2 linked regions of the Mus musculus genome follow. The protein of the gene in region 2 interacts with the protein of the main gene of each other region in a biochemical or structural test. Links are inferred from orthologs where the notes say so. Each region holds a gene or a part of one and is shown on either strand. Other genes may lie near its edges.

Region 1 (4,493 bases), on a different chromosome or scaffold from region 2:
GAAGTGCTCTAGAGAAAAAAGCAAAAACAAGCAAATGTGATTAAAGAGTAAGTCCTGCTTACACCCTCAGGACTGCCTTGTGTTCTCTTAAGACTATATACCTGAAATCAGGTCAGAAAACATTAGATAAGTGAGGTACTCAATCAAATGCAAGCTTATTAACTAACAAATACTCATATGGTGGAAGGAGGAACTCCATAAACACATACAATATCCATAAAGGAAAGTCATGGGACAACTGGTGACTTACACCAGGACTTCAAAAGGGGAACAAACAAGAGAATACCCAATAGCCCACTAATTTTTAATCTCTTTCACCTAAAAATTAATTTTCTGTGTATGTTTTATAGCATGTGTAACAGTACAGAACTACATAACTTACGTAGACTAAAAAATGGAGGTAGTTGCTCAATTCTTCCTTATTTGTTCAAGTAATCATTAGAAAACATAATCCATTATAGCTACATCAAGTTAACAGTAATTAGAATAACATAAAAATCTAATAATGAAATTTGAGAGTCCAACAGTTAAGAAACACATTTGCTTTCAAACAATAAAGTCACCTTAACAGACTAAATTATAAGGGCTTTTTCTAAGCACCTTCATTTACAAGTTTTAAAGACAAAAACGCAGCAATTTTTAAGTTTTTTTTTTCAAGATTAAAAAAGTTTTCTCTGTGTGTGTGTGTGTGTGTGTGTGTGTGCGCGCGCGCGCGAGCGTGACACAGGAAACAGGTGCCTGAAGACACTGAGGAGAAAATCCGATCCCCTGAAGCTGGTGTAGTCAGGTAGTTGTGAGCCACATGATTTTGGTGCTGGAAACCAAACTGAGGTTCTCTGGAAGAAAGAGTGTTCCTAACCACTAAGCCATTTCTCCAGACCCAATTATTAACTTTTAAGAAAAGAAAGAAGGAAGGAAGAGTTTTCATGGATGGAGAAATGGCTCAACAGTTAAGACCACAGACTGTTCCTTCAGAGGACCCAGGTTCAATTTCCAGCACATACATTGAGACTAAAAACTATCTGTAATTGTGCAGGTACACAGACATCCATACATACAAAATACCTGACACATAAAATAAATAAATATTTTTTTAAAAATCATCACAATCCAATAATTAAAAACAACTATTAAAAAAAAAAAACAAAAAAAAAACAAAAAAAACCCAAAACAACAACAAAAAACTGGGCATGACAGTTAATGTCTCTAATCCTGACACCTGGGAGACATAAAGGTAGGATCTCTGTGAGTTTCATGCCAGCTAGAGCTACAGAGTGAGATCATGTCTCAGTAAGAACAGTTCTCAGTTTGTATTAAATTTGATTTGTATGAGATTCCCAGAATAAGGTGACCAAAACAACTAACGGTAAAGCTTCTTCTGAAACACAAACAATAATCAACATAGTTTCTTTTTTTAAATTTTATTTATTTATTTTATGTATATGAGTACACTGTATTTATCTTCAGACACACCAGAAGAGGGCACCAAATCCCATTACAGATGGTTGTGAGCCACCACGTGGTTGCTGGGAATTGAACTCAGGACATCTGGAAGAGCAGTCAGGGCTCTCAACCGCTGAGCCATCTCTCCAGCCTCAACACAGTTTCTTAATTCTTCATAAAAGGAATTACTGTCCTTACAGAATAATAATTGAAGGGCAAGTCTACATACAAGAAAAGAACCTCGGGTTACCAAAATGTACAACTCAATAGATCCTGTGGTTCAAGAATGTTATCAAGAAGTGACACCAAGGCATCCTGAAAAGATGTCTCAGTTGTGAAGAGCATTTACTGCTCTTCAGGACCCAAATTATTCTACTCTCAGCACCCACATCAGGCTGCTCAAAACTGCCTGTAACTCCAGCTCCAGGGGATCCAACACCCTCTTCTAACCTCCAAGAGCATGCATCCATCATATACTCACACAGACACACGGAAATAACAAAAATAGACCCAAAAAGGGAGTTGGGGGTGACATCAAGAGAGCTGGGATCCTTCCCAAAGGTTAAAAGGACAAACAAAATCCTAAGGTTTTCAAACATACTTCATACACCTCTCATATTACAGCTATCTACCCTACACGTTCTCTCTCTAGAGGTAGGATAGTCAGGGGAGGGAGGGCAGGTCATTGAGAACCTCCTGAGAAAACTCGAAAAACTTTTAGGATTGATGTGTTTGCCATCTTACAACCTTTTGGAGAAGCCTCTACCCCAGGTTTCCACCGAGAAACCTATCTTAAGGCCTCTCCTCTCCTTGATTTTAAAAATTCGAGTGCGGGGTCTTAACCCCACCTTGTTAAAAGAGAACGGAAGCACTTTCTGGGTTATGTTTGGGACATATTCAGCAAAACATGCAAAAATGCCACTATATGTTAACTGAGGAATTCCAGCTTTGGGACAAGAGGAGTGACTACATCAATCCGTTGGGGGGCGGGGGGGACGGACAAACAAACCATAACTTTGGGTCAGCATGGGACACGGGGGAAGGACCACTGACGTAATGAAGATTAAATGAGAAAGGGGTATAAAAGATAGAAGGCGCTTCACAGCCGAGCAGGGAAGGGTGGCAGGTAATAAAAACAATGAGAAGAACAGGTAACAGCAGGTAAACACCAGGTAACGATAGCGATAAATTACTGAGGAGAAACGAAGTTCAAGGTAGGCCTAAGAAAGGAGGCACAAAACAACAACGGGAGCCAGGAAAGAAGTGTAAGCGGGCGCCTGACAGGAAAACACGTGGAATAAGGCCGCGCAGGGCCCCGCGTAGAATTTAGGCTCCAGGAAACCCCACCTCAGCCTTCCCCGCGTAACGGTACCTTCAGCTTGTGGAGCTCCACCGTCTCGGCCGCCATCTTGATGCGCCTCAGTCCACCGGACCCCCACCGCTGGCCCCCACCTCAGGCGCTTAGGCTCATCCAACCAATCGCTGTTTCTCTTGCTCCCACCTCACACCAACGGCTCTTCCCATTAGTCAGCGGCGGCGGCGCTCTCACGCCTCTTGGCCACTTTCCACGGCTCTCTAAAAAGGTGGATCCAGGGGAGGGCGGGGTTTGCATGGCCTAACGAGAGAAAAGGCGACCAATTGTACGTCTCCATTGCGTAACCAACCAATGATTGGGGACAGCGCGGATTCTGTTCCGCCAATAGGGAGAGCGCAGACAGGGCGAAAGTCGGCCACTTCCTGGAGACCACAGGTGTAAGAGCCAGCGCTGTGCCCCAAGCCGGACGGGCTCCTGAAGCTGGCAGGTATGGGCCCCGTGAAACTTTAAAAAGTTACAGAGAGAAATCGGTGGGAGTATTGGGAAGGGCGGCGAAACGACAACCTTAGATTCGAGAGATCCCGTGAAGAAAGTGACATGCGAAACTGGGACTCTGGGAGGAGCATGGGCGGACTCTGTAATTGATTTGGGGAATTGTGGGACAGGCAAGAGCGGGTTAAAACAAACAAAACAAAAAACAAAAGTAGGCATTAGAGCTTGCAGAAGTTTAAAAACTAAAACCGCTCCTAGAAGGGAAGGACTCCCATTTCTTGAGGGACTGAGCTCAGACCCCTTCCTAGACTAATTTAAAAATTGGGTAAGTTTTTGCAGCGCCCCACGTTCAGTGAAGGGATGAAATTGCTTGGCTGCTGACAATGCCAAGCGGGTGAGAGACAGGATGGACAAGCCCCAGGAAAAAAGGATGGGAACTAGAGGTAGCTTTACTCTCAGTGCCTTCTTTATTGGTCCCTTGATTAACTGAATAGCTTTCTTGTGGAACTCTGGGTATGTGTGACCTCTTTATAATTCACTAACTTCCTCAAGAAAGTAAATTAAAATACTCCCGATTCCTCCGATCCTTCAAATAGGTCTCACAGTCTAAACTTACTGCTTTATATTTAGTTGAAATGTAAAGATCTGAGTAAAAACCCCACTTGTGTGAGTATACACACTAACAACTGAAGGTACGGAAGTCAAAAGACAGCTTTCCGGAGTTGGTTATCACCTTCCACTGCATGGGTCCTGGGGATCCAACTCAGGTCTTTAGGCATGGTGACAAATACCTTTTCCACCTTAGTCATTTCGAAGACCCTCTTGCCTTTTTGTTTGTTTTGGAGAAAGGTCAAACAGTTCTCATGCCTCAACCTCCTAAATTCAGGGATTACAAGCATGAGCCACCACACCCAGCTGCTTCACCTCTTCTCAAGTTTTAACAAAGTGTTCAGTTTTTCCTTTTTTTGCATGGTAGGGAAATTCTTTCATTCCCAAGACTTCAGGGGATTTTGGCTTTTCAGGAGACAGCTGGGGAACAAGCTCAATCAGGGCTAATGAGGAGACTGAGTTGGACTCCTGCCTGATCCCTCACTGTGGTAGGATGAATGTGGGGGTGGCACACAGCGAAGTAAACCCCAACACTCGAGTGATGAACAGTCGGGGCATCTGGCTGGCCTACATCATCTTGGTAGGACTGCTGCATGTGGTTCTCCTCAGCATCCCTTTCTTCAGCATTCCTGTT
Region 2 (3,148 bases):
GCAGCACATACTCACGGCTGTCATTCTGCCTTCTGTTCCTGCCACCTTTCGGCCTTTGACCCCACTTCATATAAAGAAGGGATGCAAACCCAGCAATGAGCCCTGCCACGGGGCAAGGGGTCGCTGGTCCTGCTTCTGGTTGTCTCTGCCTCACCACAGCTACTGCCTACCAGAGAAACAGAATGCAGCCAGCCCAGACCTGCAGCCCACTGCCTGGTACACGAGGCAGGCAGTCCTAGGACAAAGGGAAGAGCCCTTGAGACCTGGGCTCTTTGCCAGGGTGCTGGGTTCAGTTTCCTTAAGCTAAGACTGTGGATGCCACGTCAGCCACTGAAGCCCGCCTGCTGCTGAGGCTCACGGTACAGAGGCCTCGCTGCTCCACATCCAGGGCAGAAGGTCTCACAGCTAAAGACTAGGTTTTGTAATTTTTTTAACCTGTAAACCTTTCAATGTTGACACACAAAATTAAATATCATATTGATAAAAAAGATGGCACGTTTGCTGGTGAGAAGTTTGCTGGCTTGACCCAACCCCATGAGATGTTGACCGAAAGGGATGGGGCTGGAGCCATGCATTCACAATAAAAGTTTATTCTTACATCACTAAAGCTTTGGAACAATAAAAAGAGACATCGATTTGTCACCTAGAAAGAGGTTCTGAAGCAGCAGGTGGGAAAGAGAGTGGCCATGTTGCCCTGGCTACACATACGGTTACCGGCTCTGCTCAACTGTAAAGACAAGAAAGACACAGTGAGTGAGGATAGAGGGCCTTTGCTCCTGAAGCCCCGCTCCTGCCCTGAGTGGCTCCAGGTACTCACTGTATGTGGAGATATCTATTTCCTCTGGAAGCTCAGCTACATTCACTTCAAACCGGTCCTGAACATCATTAAGGATTTTGGCATCATTTTCATCCGATACAAAAGTGACTGCCAGGCCCTTGGTACCAAAGCGACCAGCACGAGCCACCTGCAGAGAGATGGTCAGGAGACAGTCACTCCTGAGGATCTGAGAAGGGTGGGGGAGGTCCTGAGCCCGCCCACACTGGGAGGAGGCGCTCACTCGGTGAAGGTAGGTGTCTGAGTCCTCTGGCATGTCATAGTTGAAGACAATGTTGACTCGCTCAATGTCCATACCTCTGCCAAACAGATTAGTAGCCACCAGGATTCGTCGCTGGAAGTCCTTGAACTGCTGGTATCGGGACAGGCTAGAGCGGGAGACAAGCAGAGGCATTAAACCCGAGTCCCAGGTGTGAGCAGCCTTGGCCCTGGTGGACATCACTCACTCATGCACTCACCGCTCCTCCTGGGCCATGCCTCGGTGAATAGCGATAGCTGGGAAATTCTGCTCCACTAGGAGCTGGGCCAGGGCCATGCAGCGTTGCACAGACTTGACAAAGATCACCACCTGAAGAAGAAGGGTGTTTAGGCGCATAGATAATCACCCCACAGGCCCATATCTTGGTGTGGAAGGAAGGAAGGAAGGAAGCATCACCTGGTTAAACTCTAGCACGTCGAGGAGGTCGAAGAGCTTACGGTTCTTCTCACTGTCCTTGAGCTTGACGTAATACTGCTGCAGCCCATGCAGTGTGAGCTTGGTCTCGTCGTCCACAAACACCTCCATAGGCTGTGTGGGGAGGGAAGCAGGAAGGGGCGAGTAGGGCTCACTTCTGGGCGTCTCATGTGCCCGGAACCTTCCAGAGAGCAGCTCCTCTGTATTGATGATTCCCAGAGGGCCTGTTGCACCCAACCTCAGTAAACAATTCTCTCCCAAAAGCCGGATGTAAGCTCTGCCTCTGGCTCAGGTGTGGACCACTCAGCTCCCAGTTTGACAAACCAGGGGAAGGAAGGAGGCCGGCGAAGCCTCCTAGCATCCTCCAGGCCATGAGAGCAGTGTGCTTGTCGCAGAGTGGCCCAGCCCATCAGAGAGGGCCAAAGCTGCTGCGCTGAGGTGTTGGCCACGGTGGGCAGGCAGCCAGCCAGCTGGGGCGTCACCCTACTCACATCCTGCATGAACTTCCTGCAGACTGGCCGGATCTCCTTGCTCAGGGTGGCGCTGAACATCATACACTGCTTCTCGTGGGGTGTCAGACGAAAGATCTCCTGTACATCCCGGCGCATGTCTGGATGGGATGCCAACAAATCGCAAGCCTGAGTGTCTTGTCTGACTGAGCAGACCCACAGCAGAGAGGAACCAGCCCTTCCCAACCTGGACCGGACAACACTGGCACCATAGCCGTGGTGGAGTGGGCCCAGGGGTGTCCCCGCTGCCTGAGGGGCTGGGCTCGGATGGGCGGGAGCGCAAGCATGGGAGGAGCTGCGGTCCACTTACTCGCTGCCAGCATGGAGCGGCTGCCAGTGCGCCTTGAGCCACGCTTCAGGAAAGGGAGCCTGAGGCAGAGACAGCCACTGGCGTGAGAGCTGCAGCTGCTTCCCAGGACACATGCCCATCTCTCCCAGCCCCTGATGGTGGCTGAGGCCACTCTACTCCTCTAGATTCCCTAAAGGGCTGGCAGCTCATGGGGCCTAGGGTCCAGAAGCAGCACATACTCTGTAACCTCAGAATTCCCCTTAGGCTTCTCCTAGAAACCCTGAGTTCTGGCCACCCATGTGACCCACTATAAGAGCCACCTCTGCCTGCCCTATCAGGCCCCCTAGAAAACGGCTGTGACTCTATGAGTGGGAAACCAGCTGGACAGGACAGTAGGATGCTCACCCAGCTGTTCCAGCATCTTGTCACATTCATCTAGCACAAAGTGCTTCACATTCCTCAGGTTGAGGCTCCTGCTCCGCACAAGTGCCAGGATCCGGCCTGGTGTCCCCACCACAACATGAGGACAGTTCTTCTTCAACACATCTTCATCCTTCTTAATGGAGAGGCCTCCAAAGAACACAGAAACCTATGGGGACAGAAAGAAAGCTGTTTCCACCATCTGGGGGCAGTGATCCTTACAGCATAGGTCCCACCCATCCTGAGGGGACCTGACACTCCAGCCCCACTCCCTCAGAACCCAGGCGGGGCCGAAAAAACAGGGCAAGGCTGAGGTATGTGGGACCAGCACAAGCCTTGTGGGTTGGGCATAATTCATCAGGCTCATAAGGAACATAAGTTAGCATAAACCTCAAGATTGAGAAATGCTGCTTGAGCTGACA

The links.
Region 1: the proteins of Ddx39a (region 2) and Sarnp form a complex in vitro, tested with the Homo sapiens proteins (2 studies listed by BioGRID). The link is inferred for Mus musculus from reciprocal best matches to the Homo sapiens genes DDX39A and SARNP.

The regions. Positions count from the first base shown.
Region 1 is NC_000076.6:128,820,294-128,824,786, reverse strand, and holds the start of Sarnp (SAP domain-containing ribonucleoprotein), read right to left. Parts: upstream 3,024-4,493; 5' UTR 2,852-3,023; coding exon 2,816-2,851; intron 9-2,815; exon of another isoform or gene 1-8. Other genes in the region: Ormdl2 (ORM1-like protein 2), read left to right, coding at 4,353-4,493. UniProt on the Homo sapiens protein: Binds both single-stranded and double-stranded DNA with higher affinity for the single-stranded form. Specifically binds to scaffold/matrix attachment region DNA. Also binds single-stranded RNA. Enhances RNA unwinding activity of DDX39A.
Region 2 is NC_000074.6:83,720,704-83,723,851, reverse strand, and holds the end of Ddx39a (ATP-dependent RNA helicase DDX39A), read right to left. Parts: intron 2,896-3,148; coding exon 2,712-2,895; intron 2,387-2,711; exon of another isoform or gene 2,341-2,386; coding exon of another isoform or gene 2,328-2,340; intron 2,119-2,327; coding exon 2,000-2,118; intron 1,623-1,999; coding exon 1,491-1,622; intron 1,404-1,490; coding exon 1,294-1,403; intron 1,204-1,293; coding exon 1,059-1,203; intron 966-1,058; coding exon 818-965; intron 728-817; coding exon 711-727; 3' UTR 501-710; downstream 1-500. UniProt on the Homo sapiens protein: Helicase that plays an essential role in mRNA export and is involved in multiple steps in RNA metabolism including alternative splicing. Regulates nuclear mRNA export to the cytoplasm through association with ECD.